2 linked regions of the Oryza sativa Japonica Group genome follow. The protein of the gene in region 2 interacts with the protein of the main gene of each other region in a pairwise test. Links are inferred from orthologs where the notes say so. Each region holds a gene or a part of one and is shown on either strand. Other genes may lie near its edges.

Evidence for each region.
Region 1: the proteins of homeobox protein knotted-1-like 3 (region 2) and transcription repressor OFP1 interact in a two-hybrid assay, tested with the Arabidopsis thaliana proteins (2 studies listed by BioGRID, with this or other methods). The link is inferred for Oryza sativa Japonica Group from reciprocal best matches to the Arabidopsis thaliana genes KNAT7 and OFP1.

Annotation. Positions count from the first base shown.
Region 1 is NC_089039.1:15,147,504-15,155,333, forward strand, and holds transcription repressor OFP1, read right to left. Parts: upstream 3,235-7,830; 5' UTR 2,972-3,234; coding exon 2,189-2,971; 3' UTR 2,079-2,188; downstream 1-2,078.
Region 2 is NC_089037.1:1,348,618-1,356,051, forward strand, and holds the end of homeobox protein knotted-1-like 3, read left to right. Parts: intron 1-17; coding exon 18-138; intron 139-2,803; coding exon 2,804-2,997; intron 2,998-3,533; coding exon 3,534-3,665; intron 3,666-3,914; coding exon 3,915-4,052; 3' UTR 4,053-4,157; coding exon of another isoform or gene 4,158-4,161; 3' UTR 4,162-4,491; downstream 4,492-7,434. Other genes in the region: uncharacterized protein, read right to left, coding at 5,542-5,862, 5,950-5,968, 6,063-6,187, 6,296-6,391, 7,022-7,103, 7,200-7,256. UniProt on the Arabidopsis thaliana protein: May be involved in secondary cell wall biosynthesis.

The sequences.
Region 1 (7,830 bases), on a different chromosome or scaffold from region 2:
GGTCCAACGTGACAACGCTAATGACGTTGCCACGGTTCCCCTTGCCCTCACTAAATGCTAAGTCACTTATTTGAAGGAGGACGACGCCAATGTTGTTAATGCGCCGTGAAAAGGGTTCATTCCTAAAATAAGTTTTTAAGGGGTTTATTTGTAGAATAAGTTTTTTAAAGCATCAAAAGTGAAAAATCTAGAGACTAGGTAGAGGCGTTGGGCGACACGTAGCTGGGTTCGGCAGTGGGACTCTTGCGAGACCAACGTCGCAGTTAAAGGAGGCTAAAATGGAAAATATAGGTGTTTGAATCTCCTGAAGATGAAGATAAAGATTAAGTGTTTTACGCAAAACGAGGTGATAATAACGTGTGATTAATTGAGTTTGAATTATTACAAACTTGAAAAATGGATTAATCTTATATTTTAGAATAACTTTCATATAGAAAGTTTTCGCACGAAATATATCGTTTAGCAGTTTGAAAAGCATGCCACGAGCATCCAAAAGTTTATCTAACTTTGTTGGAGAAAAGAACAGGCACAAATTTACCATTACAGGATCGAAAACGGAACGGATATTTCTTGACCACCCACCTGATCCAACTCTAAGGAAAATAATATAGAAGAGAAAGTAGGATATTCGTTATTATCCGAGTTTTAATCCGAATCCGTTAAGAAATATGGGTTAAAATACAATAAGAGTTTTATAGCCGGTATGTCCCATATTATGAAACATACTTAAAAATATATTATAAATTCACCAACAACCATAATAAAAGATTGATTAACTTGATAATATCGTATATTTTTTCCTTGATGAATCTCTTTTAACACTTTAATTGTTTGTCTATATTTAATATCTATCAATTGAAAATACAAATGGATATTCGTTCATGAATCCATTTTGAAGAAAATAATATAGAATATGTTACAGGATAAGTGATTTGTTATCTGACAATATCCATATCCAACTTAATATTTCGAGAGAATCCCTTATATGCCACTGAAAATTGGTCTGATCCTTTTATATGCCATTGAAAATTGGCTCTTCCCTTATATGCCATTAATCCAAATTTGCACACCCTCTCATGTCACTCCCGTCAGTTGACTGTGTATTGACCGTTAATTCTTAAGGAAAAAAGGCATATTTACCCTTTTGATTATAGGGCATGCCTAACAACTCAGAGAGGGCAAATATGTCTTTTTTACTTGAAAGCTAACGTTCAACACACGGTCAACTGACGGTAGTAGCATGAGAGGATGCGCAAATTTAGACCAATGGCATATAAGGGAAGAGCCAATTTTTAGTGACATATAAGGGATCAGACCAATTTTCAATGGCATATAAGGGATTATCTCTAATATTTCACCCCTCCTTACATAAAGCCAATGGCAAAGAACGTGTCCAGTACCGTGTTGGTTGATAAACCCATACCAAGCCGGTACCAATTGTACTTGGTTGTCCAATCAATCTAGTGTCAAAGACATACAGACTCATCTTTTTTACTTATGTTTATGTTTATGCTTATCAGCCAAAATTTAAATTTTTAACCTTAAACTTGAAGTTGATTTTAAGGTTTTTTTCATCGAAGTTTATTTTTCAGCCTTTTCTTTTAGATCGCTAAGAACACGTATATAAAAGTTTTATTTAAAAATTATTTTTTGTTTGTAAATATGCTGTTGCGCTTATATGCTTAAAATAAGTCAAACGATGGCTTCCATAGATATTTTGAAAACATGTATACTCATATATATACACGCATACACGCAGACTCATTTTTATAAACACACCCTATTTTAAGATTAACAAAGTCACCACAAACGTCTTACCTTACTAACGGATCCGTCCCGCATAGCTACGTAGCTACGTTGTTCTCACGAGTCACTGTTCACAAACAAATAATCATCAGCGACATGTATTCTTTGTGAATTTCCCAAGCTTATGATTATGCAGCTATTTGAAGAATTTGTTTGGAAAAAAAATTCGGTCGTTTAATTTGGCATGGCTAACTGTCAAAACTAAGCGTGAAGTCTAGAGTTTCCCTGCATAGCCCTTGAATACCTCGATTTAATTACAGGACAAAACATTGTACATATGCCAGCTTGATTCATTAACACCAAAAATTAACGGCACAATATATCCATTTACAGCTCAATCGATTCGATCAATCCAACTATACAAAAACAGAATCAATATAGCTCACAACCCAACGCAACAATCAGCATCAGCGACGATCTCAACCCAGACGCCCCTGAACGCCTCCATGATCACGCCGTGGTGCTCCCGCGCGTTGAGCGACAGGTAGCACTCGAGCAGCTCCAGCAAATCCTCCGGCGACCGCATCCCGTTCCCGACCACCATCTCCACCATGCTCTCCCGGAAGTCCCTCGCCGGCTCCGCCGACGCCTTCACCACCGCGAACCCACCGCCGCCGCTCCTCCGGCGACCACTACCAGCCCTACACTCGCAGCCGCCGAGAACGTGCAGCCTCCTGCTCCTCATCCTCGGCGAGCTCGGGCACGTGCCGCTCCCGCTCGCCGTCCTCCTCGGCTCGGCCGACGCCGCCGCCGCCGACGGTGGCCTCGTGCGTATAGGACGTAGCTGCAAGTCTTGAAACTCGCCGTCGTGGTGGTCTCCGGGAATGGCTGTGGCGGGGATTCTTTGGTGGAGAGGGGAGTGGGAGATGAGCTGAGATTCCTTCTCCATCAGTGGCATCTGCTTGGCTCGTTCCAGGTAGGGGTAGTAGGATCGTCGCGGCGGTGACAACGGGAGAGGCTTGGGAGTGGTGGTTCCATGTCCATGGAGGTAGTAGTGGTGGATGCTGCTTGACGACGACGACGATCTCCTGGAGCTTCTTGCTGCATGATCTGCTGCGGTGATCATCCGGCTTGATGTTGGCCTGGGCCTCTTCATGTCCCTCAGCTTGTAGAACCATGAGTTTGGCATGAGATGGGACAGCCTGAACCTCTCATGGCTGCTCATCTCTCAGTCTCTCACTCACACACTCTTTCTAAGCCTTGTGGTGTGCAGCTAGCTAGCTACCATGGAGCATTGCAATGGAGGAGTGCCTCTCTTTGTAAGGTGTTGGCAATGGCAAATTGGCAAGTGGGTGAGTATAGCAGAAGAATTTCTGAGCTGATGAACAATGATGAAATGGTGAGTTGCTCTGAAACACTCTGCAGATTGTGACACCAAGAAAGGACCCAATTAAGCCTGTACCGGCCTCAGCATCATCATCATAGCAATTGTACTAATGTAGTTGCGGTTGCAATGATCAGGGCAAATTTCTTTAGCATTTAAGAAATACAAATGGTACACACATGGAAAACAGCACAAAGGTTTTTTACTTGTCAAAGTTGCCCAGATAAATCAAGTTAATTTGGGCCAAATTGTATATGCATTGCCTTGATTGTTGTATGTACAAAGGGAAAGAAAGCGATATGATTGTTTAGACTTTAGAAACTTATGCATTGGTTGTGTTCTGGGCTCGCGAACTTGTACGGTGCTAAAGAATAGTGCCAGGTTTGCACTTTCGTTATGTTAAACCTATCTCTACTACTCTGTCCTACTCATTACCCTGCCTTTTTTAGAGCACCCTTATGATCTCATGGGTCTTTTCCTTTTAAAACCTAGCTACAACTTTACAGCAAAGTTGGGGAATATTCCGCTCCTTTCGAACTACCACGCATAGTGAAATTTCCCTTTATTGATAGGGAACATTGCTGATATCACTCCATGAAACTATGGGAATTAATATCATTAACTAATGTCATAGGCAGAGTGTGCATATTGTTCTCCCGCGAAAGAAAAAAAATGCGCTTGGTATACCTATATCCAACACCTGGATATTTTTAACTTTTTAGTATCTTTACTATTATAAAAGTTGAGTCGTCGTACTTCCATCTCTTCTCACTGCTCATGCAACCTGTTTGTATGCTGCTTCCCACATATATAGTGTGCGCAATAATTGCATGATCCAGTGCTTTATTCTCAATTCACCCTCCAGTCCATTCCTAATCGACTCAATTATATGGGTCTAGTCCGTTACAATGTATGGATATGTTAATAATATTTTAGAAAATGAACATAAATTTGATTTATGTCCGTAAATTTTTGCCTTTAATTAATTTTAGTCACTAGCACAGATATAAATGGAGGGGCGATGGTTTGTTAAAGATGTTCTCTCAGCTGTCTGTCTGGATGTCCCATCATCTGCCTCGCGTAACAAACAGTAAGGTGCATCCATCCGGGTATTTCGTTAAGTACAGGAAGGTGCATGAACTGGCTAGTGCAAGCTCTATTGCGCTAGCTCCAGGACTCCAGCAAAGATTATGCTATGCCTACCTGGATAGGGCTAGCTATATCTCCACTCTACTTTGCATCAGACTTTAATAGTGTTGCCTCTTTTGATGTTCAAAACAATAATTGGCAAGACAAGTTCTCAACTCAGGGAGTACTATGATCTGAAAAAAAGAGAAATTGCACCATGAAGCTGTTGTTGTGCAGCTGCATAAAGCTGGCAGTGTTGTCAATTTTGTGATGCCCAACATGCAAGGATTGAATGGGGGAACAAGGAAACGATACAATTTTTATTAGTCTTATAGAAACGGTTCTACATTTATGAATTTAACTATATATTTAGTAGCAACTTCAATATGACACATACAAACATTAGAAAACTAAATTTTACAGTCAGAAACAATCAAAAATGATATCGATTTTTTTTAATGAAAACGGCATCGGTATGGTCAAAAAAATTTCCGTACCATTTTCATCCATACACCTGGTCTAAAAATTAGAGGCAATAGAGCATCTTGAGCCCGTGGGCAGTTACAGGTTGTGAGTCAAAGGTGAGATCCAATATACAAGGGCATGTGTCATATATAAGACACCAATAACTTCTGCCTTGGCCCAAGTAGATAGTCCCACGAGTGACACCAACAAGTCTTTCCTTGTGACACTAGTCTATAAATTGCTTTACACTTTAGCTAGACAAGCTAGCCCATTTGGACATGGATAGCCCGACAACAGCTAACAAATTAGCTATTGGAAGTCTAAAACTCAAGCTATTTGATTCAAGTCTAGACTGACGTCGTCTTGTTTCAACATGTGATAAAGTGAAACACAGTCATGGAAGTAGCTAGGTTTGTATTTCCTTACACGTCGGAGCCCCCAATTCCATATCCAATTTGTATCTTTATTTTTTTTTATCTTTTTTAAGAAAGTTCACCGGGGGGAGAACTGCCTCACCTGTATTTTCATTGCAAGGGAGGTAAAGTTCAGGTTTCATTACAAATCAAGAGATCAAAGGGAGGAAGAGATGATTTCTTTCCAAGCTGAAAAAGCATTCATATCCTCCACGATTAGCCGCTCAGTCCAAAGAGTAGCGTCGTCGATGCACCTCACGATCAACCTGCGTAGATATGTTATTTTTCCACGGAGTACCACATCATGTCGATGGTTCCAAAGGCCCCAAAAGCATAGAAGGAAGAAGACCCAGTAGTGTTTGATCGGAATTTGCAGTGGGAGCAGCAAATCCGCCATGTTCTTGACAGTCAAAATGTTGATCTGAACACTGATCAGTCTACAGAGAGCAATTGTAAAGGGGCACTGGATACATAATGTGTTAAACTGTCTCATCTGCCCCATTGCAAAGGTCACATAGTGGCAATTGTACTATTTTCTTCTTGTTGAGGTTTAGCTTGGTAGGGAGTCTTTCCTTGGCTAGGAGCCATGCGAAGAGCTGCACTTTCGAAGGTGCTTTATTCTCCCAAATGAACTTCCAGTTGTTGCACAGCTGCACAGGTCTATGTCATCGCACACGGCGTAGTAAATTTGTTTGGTCTGCAGCAGACCTGTTGCTCCATTCATGTCCCTGATATCTAATTGTGATGTCAAGATCTGATCTTGGAGTAAAAGCCCTAGTTGGAGCAACTGATCTTCAGCCATCATCGAGAGCCTTGACACAAATTGATTTCTCAACTTCCTAGACATCGCCTGCTACACTGAAAGCATGTTTGTCCACAGAGTGCGAGTAGAGGGGCCATAATTTTCAGCCATGGTGTTCTCCCGGTACCAAAGATCATGCCAAAAAGAAGTGTGCCTAACATCTCCCACCTTAATTGTCGTAAGATTCTGCAGGTCAGGGAGAAATGCTACTAGGGAATCCCAGTGTACTCCGAGCTGACTGTCCCAGAAGAAGGATGCATTTTTGTGTTCATTCCAAATCCAGCGTGCCCAGAAAGATTTCAGTAGAATGGATAAGCGAGTATTTTAGTCCCACCTATCCGTTGAGTTGGGCACTTGATCAATTTCTCTAATATGAAGTACTTTGCTTTGGTTTGGCACTATTTCTATATATTTTGTGCCCTCGAGGGATGTTCTTTGTTATGGTGCATAGCAGGCTGGGTGCTGCTAACCATCAGAATACGTGGAGAAGGCTTCTAGTTCATTTATTGGAGTTACAACTTCTTGAGATCTTTTGATTCCAAAGAAGTTGCAGCTGCTAAAAGTTTCATCAAACAAGCCCCTAATCTCCTTCCACAGTGTAAGGTTCACCCTTAAAAAAATAGTGATGTTGCTATATACACATGTTTATGTAGCACTAATTTTAATGTAGTGCTTTACAATTTAATTTACCAATTAGACAAATGGTATTGATACGATGAAACGATTTTTTAAAAGAAAACTTAATTTCTCATTTATTTTTTTTACTGTCGATATGCATTAATGGTTCACTTGAAGACATGATTGTTGATGAGAGTTGACAGTGACACCATTGACCTAAAACTCTTCATCCGTCTCCTCCATCCTTAAATAAACAAATATATGCAATTTTAATTATACAGTACTAGGGAAGTGTGGTGATGCCAGTAGCCAGACGCACAGGGAGAGACGACAGCCAGGATCAACATCAGAGCAAAAGAGTGTGACAGAGGAGGATGGAAAGTGAGGCCCCGTTCGTTTCTTATGTAGAGGCAGGATGAAATTTTAGATTCTCGTGGCATGCTTTTCAAACTATTAAACGATACATTCCGTGCGAAAACTTTCTATATGAAAGTTGCTCTAAAATATCATATTAATCCATTTTTCAAGTTTGTAATAATTAAAACTCAATTAATCACACGTTATTACCACCTTGTTTTACGTGAAATACTTAATCTTTATCTTCATCTTCAGAAGATTTAAAGGGAATGCTAGGGATAACTTTGTCATTCGCCTCTAAAATGTAATCAATAAAAATGATTAATAATGGTAAATACTAAGGCGAAATAACAGATGTGGTATAGATGTGATAATTTGGGTGCTCCTTATGGTACAACAAGGAAGTGCTAACTTTTTATTTTGGCGTTAGTTGGAATAATAATAATTGATAGTTGTCCTGTCGGTTTAGTTTAATAAAATGGTTAGATTAATATAGGTGGACAGCACTGCAATTAGTATTGCCTCTAGGTTAGTAATAATTATCATTTTAGATAAGGATATGGTTTTAAAAAGACAACTTTGATAACTACTTTTTATAACATATATAGAAATATCAACAAATATATAATTGTATCAAAATATTTTAACACTAATTTATGTATATGGTTCCCATACTTTTATGACAAATATTTTAGAAATTATTTATAGTAAAAAAATTAAAATTTAACATCAATTTTGTCCAAAATACAAATATTATTAACATAAAGGGAGTACTCTATAATAAGATAAGTGCAAGTTAATTAATCACTCCTGTTGCAAATTGACCAAACAAGTAAGGTGGTGTTTGGATCCAGAGATTTAACTTTAATCTCTGTATTTAGACATTAATTTAGAGTGTTAAATATAGACTACTTACA
Region 2 (7,434 bases):
TGAAATGATCGATGCAGGCGCAGTACATGATGCTGCTGTGCTCGTTCAGGGAGCAGCTGCAGCAGCACGTCCGGGTGCACGCCGTGGAGGCCGTCATGGCGTGCCGCGAGATCGAGCAATCCTTGCAGGACCTAACCGGTAATTAACTACTACAGTATCATACATGCATTACATATTTTCCACTATATATTACATATTTCATTACTTTCCCTCTCCTTCTCGCCGCCTTCTTTTCTGTATTTTTTTTTCGATTTCCATGGTGTCGTCTTTATGATTTTTGTTCACCTTTTTGCTCTTCTCGTTAGTTAGATTAGATGGTGAAATTGTTTTTTTTTAGTTCGTTGCCGCTAGCTCTTGCAGTGATATATTAGTTGCAGCGTCTTGTTCAAACATATATATGGTCTCTTGATTCCCTCTCAACAGATTTGCATGCCTTGACTTCTAAGGTTCCGGTTTCTACAGGTGTATTCAGAGGAGATTAGTTAAATATGAAAACTCTAACACACGTACCTAACAGCGACTTTATTGCTGATGTTTATACTCGAATCAATGGAATGATAAATAACACGGAATTACCAAGGCCCACATAGATGGCAGCCCGTATACTAGGGAAAGCCCAGAAGCCCAACGGTAGATGTCACGAAAACAATTTCAGATATTCCTTTTTAGCATAAAATCCTTCCAGTTCAAAAACAAGGGCACCAATTTTTTTTTATAATCATTTTGTGTTATTAACAGAGAATAGCATAGTCAAGGTTTCTAAGGCCTATATATATATATATGTGTACGTAGTTAGACGTGATACCCTTGGTAAAATTAACTTAATCAGTTCATATATATACTGATATGAGGTGACTAGCTAGCTATTTTTCTTCTTTTCTCACAAAGTCTCAATTGGAGGTTTATGATCAGTTGAAATAAAAAAAATTCCAACAACAAAATTTGAACCAACTATTTGGCATAAATCTAATGAAACTATCCTTTGCTAAGAGAACCATGGGTTGGATATATACATCCTTATTAGTGTAGAGGCTGGATATTAATCTGTTATCTAAGAAAACAATCCATGAACTTATAAAATGCATTTAGCCATCTCCGGCGCAGATCAAGCGCTGCCATTCGGTCATGGCCGATTGGTTGGTTGGTTGCTAGCTAGCGAGAAATCGCTGAGAGGATATTGAAAAGCTAGTAGGTAGTGTAACAGCTACCTAAGCCTTATTTGGAGAGCTTTGAGATTTTAGGAAGCATAGCTAGTTAGTAGTCAATCACTCAATTGGTGAGAATATGGAAAAAAATAGGTTTTCTAACTTTAAACTTCTAGTTCATTTTTTAAATTCAATAACTATAATTTCTTAGAATCTAGATGAAAATTTAAACTGTTTGAAAAAAAAGGTTATATAAAAGAAGCTACGACTATCAAAAGCTCCCTCAAACAGAATCTAGGTTACATGAAAGTCATCTAGGTTCCATGCTAATCCTGGCTCGGAGTTGAAAGTCCATGCCTCTCGTCTAATCGACTAGCTAATTAAATGATTCAGGTGCTTCGCTTCTGTCGAATAATATATATCACACACGACCATGGAAAGTGGAAGGTGTGTCACATGACATGATATGACCGGCCGATCGAGCTCTTGGCGATCGTCCTCTTATCATGAGGGGCATCGTCATAATCATGATGCATCGATTGGGATTCAACTATAGTAGTCATTGCATATTCAAAAAGCATCAGGGTTGATGTAATGTAACTGAAGAAAAACACCCATGATGATTGGCGAAATAGATGTTGAAAACTTAGCATGCGCATACATACGTAAACTTCAATTGTAGGTAGAGAAAAATTACATTTCACCTGTAAATTAGGACACTGGGAAGTTGTTAAATTACTAGTCCACTCTTTTGACCTGGATTCTAAGGTTCTTTATAGGTTGAATTTTTATTTTTATTTTTTATTTTGGTGTGTGTGCGCGCGCGCGCTTCAGTTGGTTTTGGTTGCTTTAGAGCATAACATCAAAGCCATGCTACTTTAAAAAAACTATAATAATAATAATAATAATAATAATAATAATAATAATAATAATAATAATAATAATAATAATAATAATAATAATAATAATAATAATAATAATAATAATAATAATAATAATAATAATAATAATAATAATAATAATAATAATAATAATAATAATAATAATAATAAGAAGAAGAAGAAGAAGAAGAAGAAGAAGAAATAAAGACGAAGATCGAATTGGAGCTATAATATGCTAACTTATCTAGCTAGGCAGTTCAAAGTACACTGGTAGCTAGCTAGTAGTTCCTGCGAGCTGTTTCATGCAGGCAATGCAGCTGGCGAGAGCTGCATATGCAAAACTCCAAATCAGAGACATCTTTTCGATTGGGTAGCTTTCAAGCTGTTTCAAGTGGCCATGCGCATAGCTCGTACAACTGTCTATCTCTGCTCGATCTCACACGTTCCAGTTCATGCAGCTCGATCGATCGCCGACGTCGACAAAGCCCTCATGCATGCCTCCGTACTGCATGCATGCCCTAGCTAATTAGCTCTAACTCACTGTGTAGCACAATCTAGATTGAATATAACCGACAAACTTTGCTAGCTACTAGCTCTTCTTTTTCATGTTATTATACTTGCTTCAAGCTAATCTTTAATTTTTCATGTTATTAGATATAGGAATAACTAATCAAATAAATTAAAGAAATAGGACAGTTACAAGAGATGTGATCATCAATTAATTAACTACAGTAGTTGATTTACACTTACCTGGATGCATATGCAATTGATCATCAGGTGCAACTTTGGAGGAAGGGACAGGGGCGACCATGTCGGAGGACGAGGATGAGACGGCGCCGATGCTGGAGGGCCCGATGGATATGGGCTCGGACGGGCACGACCTCATGGGCTTCGGCCCGCTCATGCCCACCGACTCCGAGCGATCCCTCATGGAGCGGGTCAGGCAAGAGCTCAAGATTGAGCTCAAGCAGGTACATGCATGCATTGTTATTAATTTCTTCTTACGTCTTGCATGCACCTACATTCGTCTCTTCAACTCATGCATGCATATATCTTATCAATGTTTAAGCGTGTTCATTTAACATGCTTAAACATTGATAAGAGACTGTTCATGCAAGGATCATGCCGAGCTAGCTAAAATAGTACTACTGCTGCTAGCTAGCTGCTTTTTAGGGCAAAAACAGTGCATGATCAGCTTAAATGAGCTAGTTACTAGCATGAAAATCTCCTTCTTAAGTTCCTTGTACTGTGTCATAGAATACTTTGACTGAAGACTGAGCCTAGATCATTGCATATCATATTAATTGGTGTCATGTTTGATGCGGCGCCTCAGCTATATATGTGACTGACAATAACTGACTAAGACTAGCTACTTCTGGATGCATGCATGCTATTGCTAGTTCTTCAATCAGTTCCTAAATTAATTATATTGGATTATGTAATTAACTAGAGGGTGATACGTACTTTTGCAATCTTATCTCTGATTAAATTATTAAATTCGTTACAGGGCTTCAAGTCAAGGATTGAGGATGTGAGAGAAGAAATATTGAGGAAGAGGAGGGCAGGAAAGTTGCCTGGGGACACCACCACCATACTCAAGCAATGGTGGCAGCAACACTCCAAGTGGCCATACCCCACGGTGAGTACATTGTACCTATCAAGCATGCTTGCAAGAGTGCAACTAACTAGCTACTAGTCGAGATAGCCCTTCTTAGCTGTTCTCCAACTTGTTGATCAATATATCTTGATGTGCTAACTTTACAATTAATATTTATATATAATATAGCAAGAAGCAATAATATTTATTAATTAGCTAATCAGATATGCACGAAGAATTGCATGGATATAATACAGTTGGTTGAGTGGCATATATATTTTCTTGGTACAGGAGGATGATAAGGCAAAGCTTGTTGAAGAGACTGGCCTGCAGCTCAAGCAAATCAACAACTGGTTCATCAATCAGAGAAAGCGTAACTGGCACAACAACTCACAGACATCAACCCTTAAATCAAAGCGTAAAAGGTAAACAAACCGTTATCCAAGTATTTTATCCACAGTAATACAATGTTGATGTTTCAGTAATTAACAACTGAATTATAACACAAACTTCTTTTTTCTATATGTAATACAGGTAAAGGGCAGAAAAAAATGTATACCTGACGTACTCGCTAATCAAATCAAAAGAAGACATGGTGACTCATAAGTAATAAGATCATCTTAAATTGTATATCTAGTTATTAATTAGTCAGAGGTGACAAATTCATGACATACATACTAGTCTGACCACTGGCATATGCGTTGTAATTTTTGAGCAGATATGCTCAAGCAAATTCTTCTTGTTGGTATAGTTTTTAATTTTGTTGTCGTGGGTGTACCTGCATGCATACATAACCCCAAGACTAATTCATTTGCTGTGCATATACATTGACCATTCTATAACCTTCTGCTAGTCAAATAATCAAAAAGCGCACGCCATTGCAATCCAGCATTAATTCAACTGCGTTTATGGATGGAACGGAATCTCTATCTATATTTGTGGGCCTTGTATCAAGTAGTAGCAGGTATGCCAAACTGGAGTTGGACTATTGGTGATTAATTGGACAATTAGGCCTAACCAACACCACAAGACAAATTAAGGCTGGCACTAGCCTCTCATGATAATCCCGAAAATTTCCGGCGTATATGCGAGAGCCCTTCCAGCAAGCCAGCAGGGACACAAGACCAACCATATATATATTCACGTTTCTGTTTTTTAGTGTGTGGTTAGTGATAGTTTTGCATCGTCTTCCTCATTAGTATGTGGCTTAACATCTTCCAGATAATCGCTGTGCTGATTGTCAAATATTCCAATCAATTAAGGCTGGAGCTAGTGCACGGCTAGCTACGTCTCAACCAGAACGGACAACTCCGTTGAGACCTCACTGTCTCGGAAGACGCTGCACGTTGGTTCCCTGAAGATTGGCAGCGAAAAACAGCACCCATAATCCATATAGAGGTTGCTATCCAGCTACTCATGTCCAAAATCTATAAAGCAACCAAACATATACTGATCGTAAATTCAAAGTTCTGGTGAAAAAAAAAAAGTATCTGATGCGTCAATCTGTGTTGCTCTCAGACGTAATATTCAGAGATTCAGACATAACACGGGTCACATACAAGCTCCAGTTGTTGATTGTTCGTTGTAGACAAGCAACAATCTACACAGGCAATGTTATCACCAAATTCTGATAAAAAGTTCCAAATCTAAGTTGACATTTCATGGCGATCCTTTATTCAGAGAAGAACGTATTCAAGAATGATCAACACGGGGAGCTGATAATTTCTACGAAACGGGTTCACAGTATACCACACCCGGAGGAATCCAAATTATGTTTGCAGTTTACCACCCAGACCAGTCACAGATCGATTAATATATCGACATCACCTATAATAACACTACAACCACCCTAATGTTTACATTGTTCACAATATACCGATTTCGTCACAAAGACATATCTCCAATTTCTGCATTTCCTTTACTTGCCGTAGTAACCTTGTGGAGGAGGGTAGGAGCCCTGAGGCGGGTAGGAACCAGGTGGGGGATAAGAGCCAGGGGGAGGGTATGCACCACCCTGGGGGTAACCTGCCGGAGGGTAAGCAGCTGGTGGATAACCTTGAGCAGGCGGAGCAGGAGGATAGCCACCATAAGGCTGACCGTATGCTGGCTGTTGTGGTGTGTACCCAACAGGAGGTGGAATAGGCTGATCGATGCGCGACATTTGCTGCATTGGAGGCACTGCCATGGGCTGTGGGCCGAACTTCCCATCTCTCTTGTCCATTTCAATTTTGTGTTGGGTCTGCACATGCATTTCAGTGGATAAGATGGATACGCAAAGGTTAAGAAGAGTGAGTAAATAATCACCAAAGATATTATGTATGTTTACCTGCATACAGGCGCAAACCCTGCAAAAAAAAAATGGTGCACAGGTCACAAGATTATCAACATTGGGGGACTTAACTATGGAGAAGAGAAAATAACAGAGTTATGAGAGCTTACGAGCAGTAGACCATATCAGACAAGCAGGAAAGGATTTGGGAAGCCTCTGAAAGCTCTTCACTACCAACAATAGCGGCAACTATAGAGAAGATACAAGCAATTTGTTGGAGGCAGAACATGAAGCCCTACAGGAAAAGAGTGATCTTCTGCAGTGTTATAGTCTCATAGAAAGGGAACATAGGAATTATACCTAAAAGTTAGTAAAACAAACAACAAGAGGACAGTGACAGTACAATGATGCAGTTATCGCATTTAGTTGTCTGTATGTTGAATTCATCTTGGAGCAAGAAGCGGGTTGAAGCAACTGAATTACCAAAGCACAGAAACACCTGAAAAATAAAGTACTAGTTAGTTCTAAGGTAAGCACAAAAATAGCATAATTAAAGGAATAGTGACAGTATTGGAGATTACTCCATTCAAGACAAGCATTACATGTTCCCGTTCTAATCTGAGATATATACGATTGATCAAACAAGATAACAACAAAATACAGCCAAATTATCCTTACCCCAGAATCATTGACCCTGGTGCTCTTTCATTGAAAAAAGAAGAACAGAAAAAATATTGTCATACTGAACTGTATTTCAGACTATCAGAAATACCATGAAAAGCATGCTTTTTGAGCACAACAAATATGTGAAATCCAGAAATCAGTAGAAAATATAGGTAATCAAATATTACAGAAGGAACCATCAATACTCCTTTTCTTTAGCAAGGGGTGGCCACCACTTTCCCCCCCCCCCCAAAAAAAAAAATAAATAAATAAATAAATAATCATATTACCGGAAATGGAACAGTCTTTACAGGCTGATTACAAAGCCAGATAGCAAAGAAAAGAAATATAAAAACCATCAATACTCATAGCCACATGAGAACTGTTACATGTGACATGCTGCCTATAAATTCAGCCTAATCAGTCATCAAAAGGTTATCAGCAAAAAAGGGAATGGATCTTGTACCTCAGTAGCAAGACAGAACTCTGGGCATCGGCTTTCACCACACTTCCCACTGCATGGCATGTACCCAGCACAGCAGACATATCTACAAGACAGAGGTGCAGGGGAATGGATTCAGGGAGGTCTAACACAATGTTCGTATCTAACCATAGCAAGTAGAAGAAAATAGAAGAAACCCCACCTTGACATGTCATTATACAGAGCCCTTTTGCGAAGCATGTATGACACACATGGTCCACTGAACAGAAAGGGGGGAATGTAAAAGATCAAATACTGGGTAAAAAATTAACATTTCTAAATGCTAATTCTGCCTACTCAAAGACACCACAGAATATCATTGTACAGATTAATGAAACACGACTCCGTTTAAATGCAATGCCTGTGGAAAAGCAGAGTACCCAGAAGACTAAAATCTT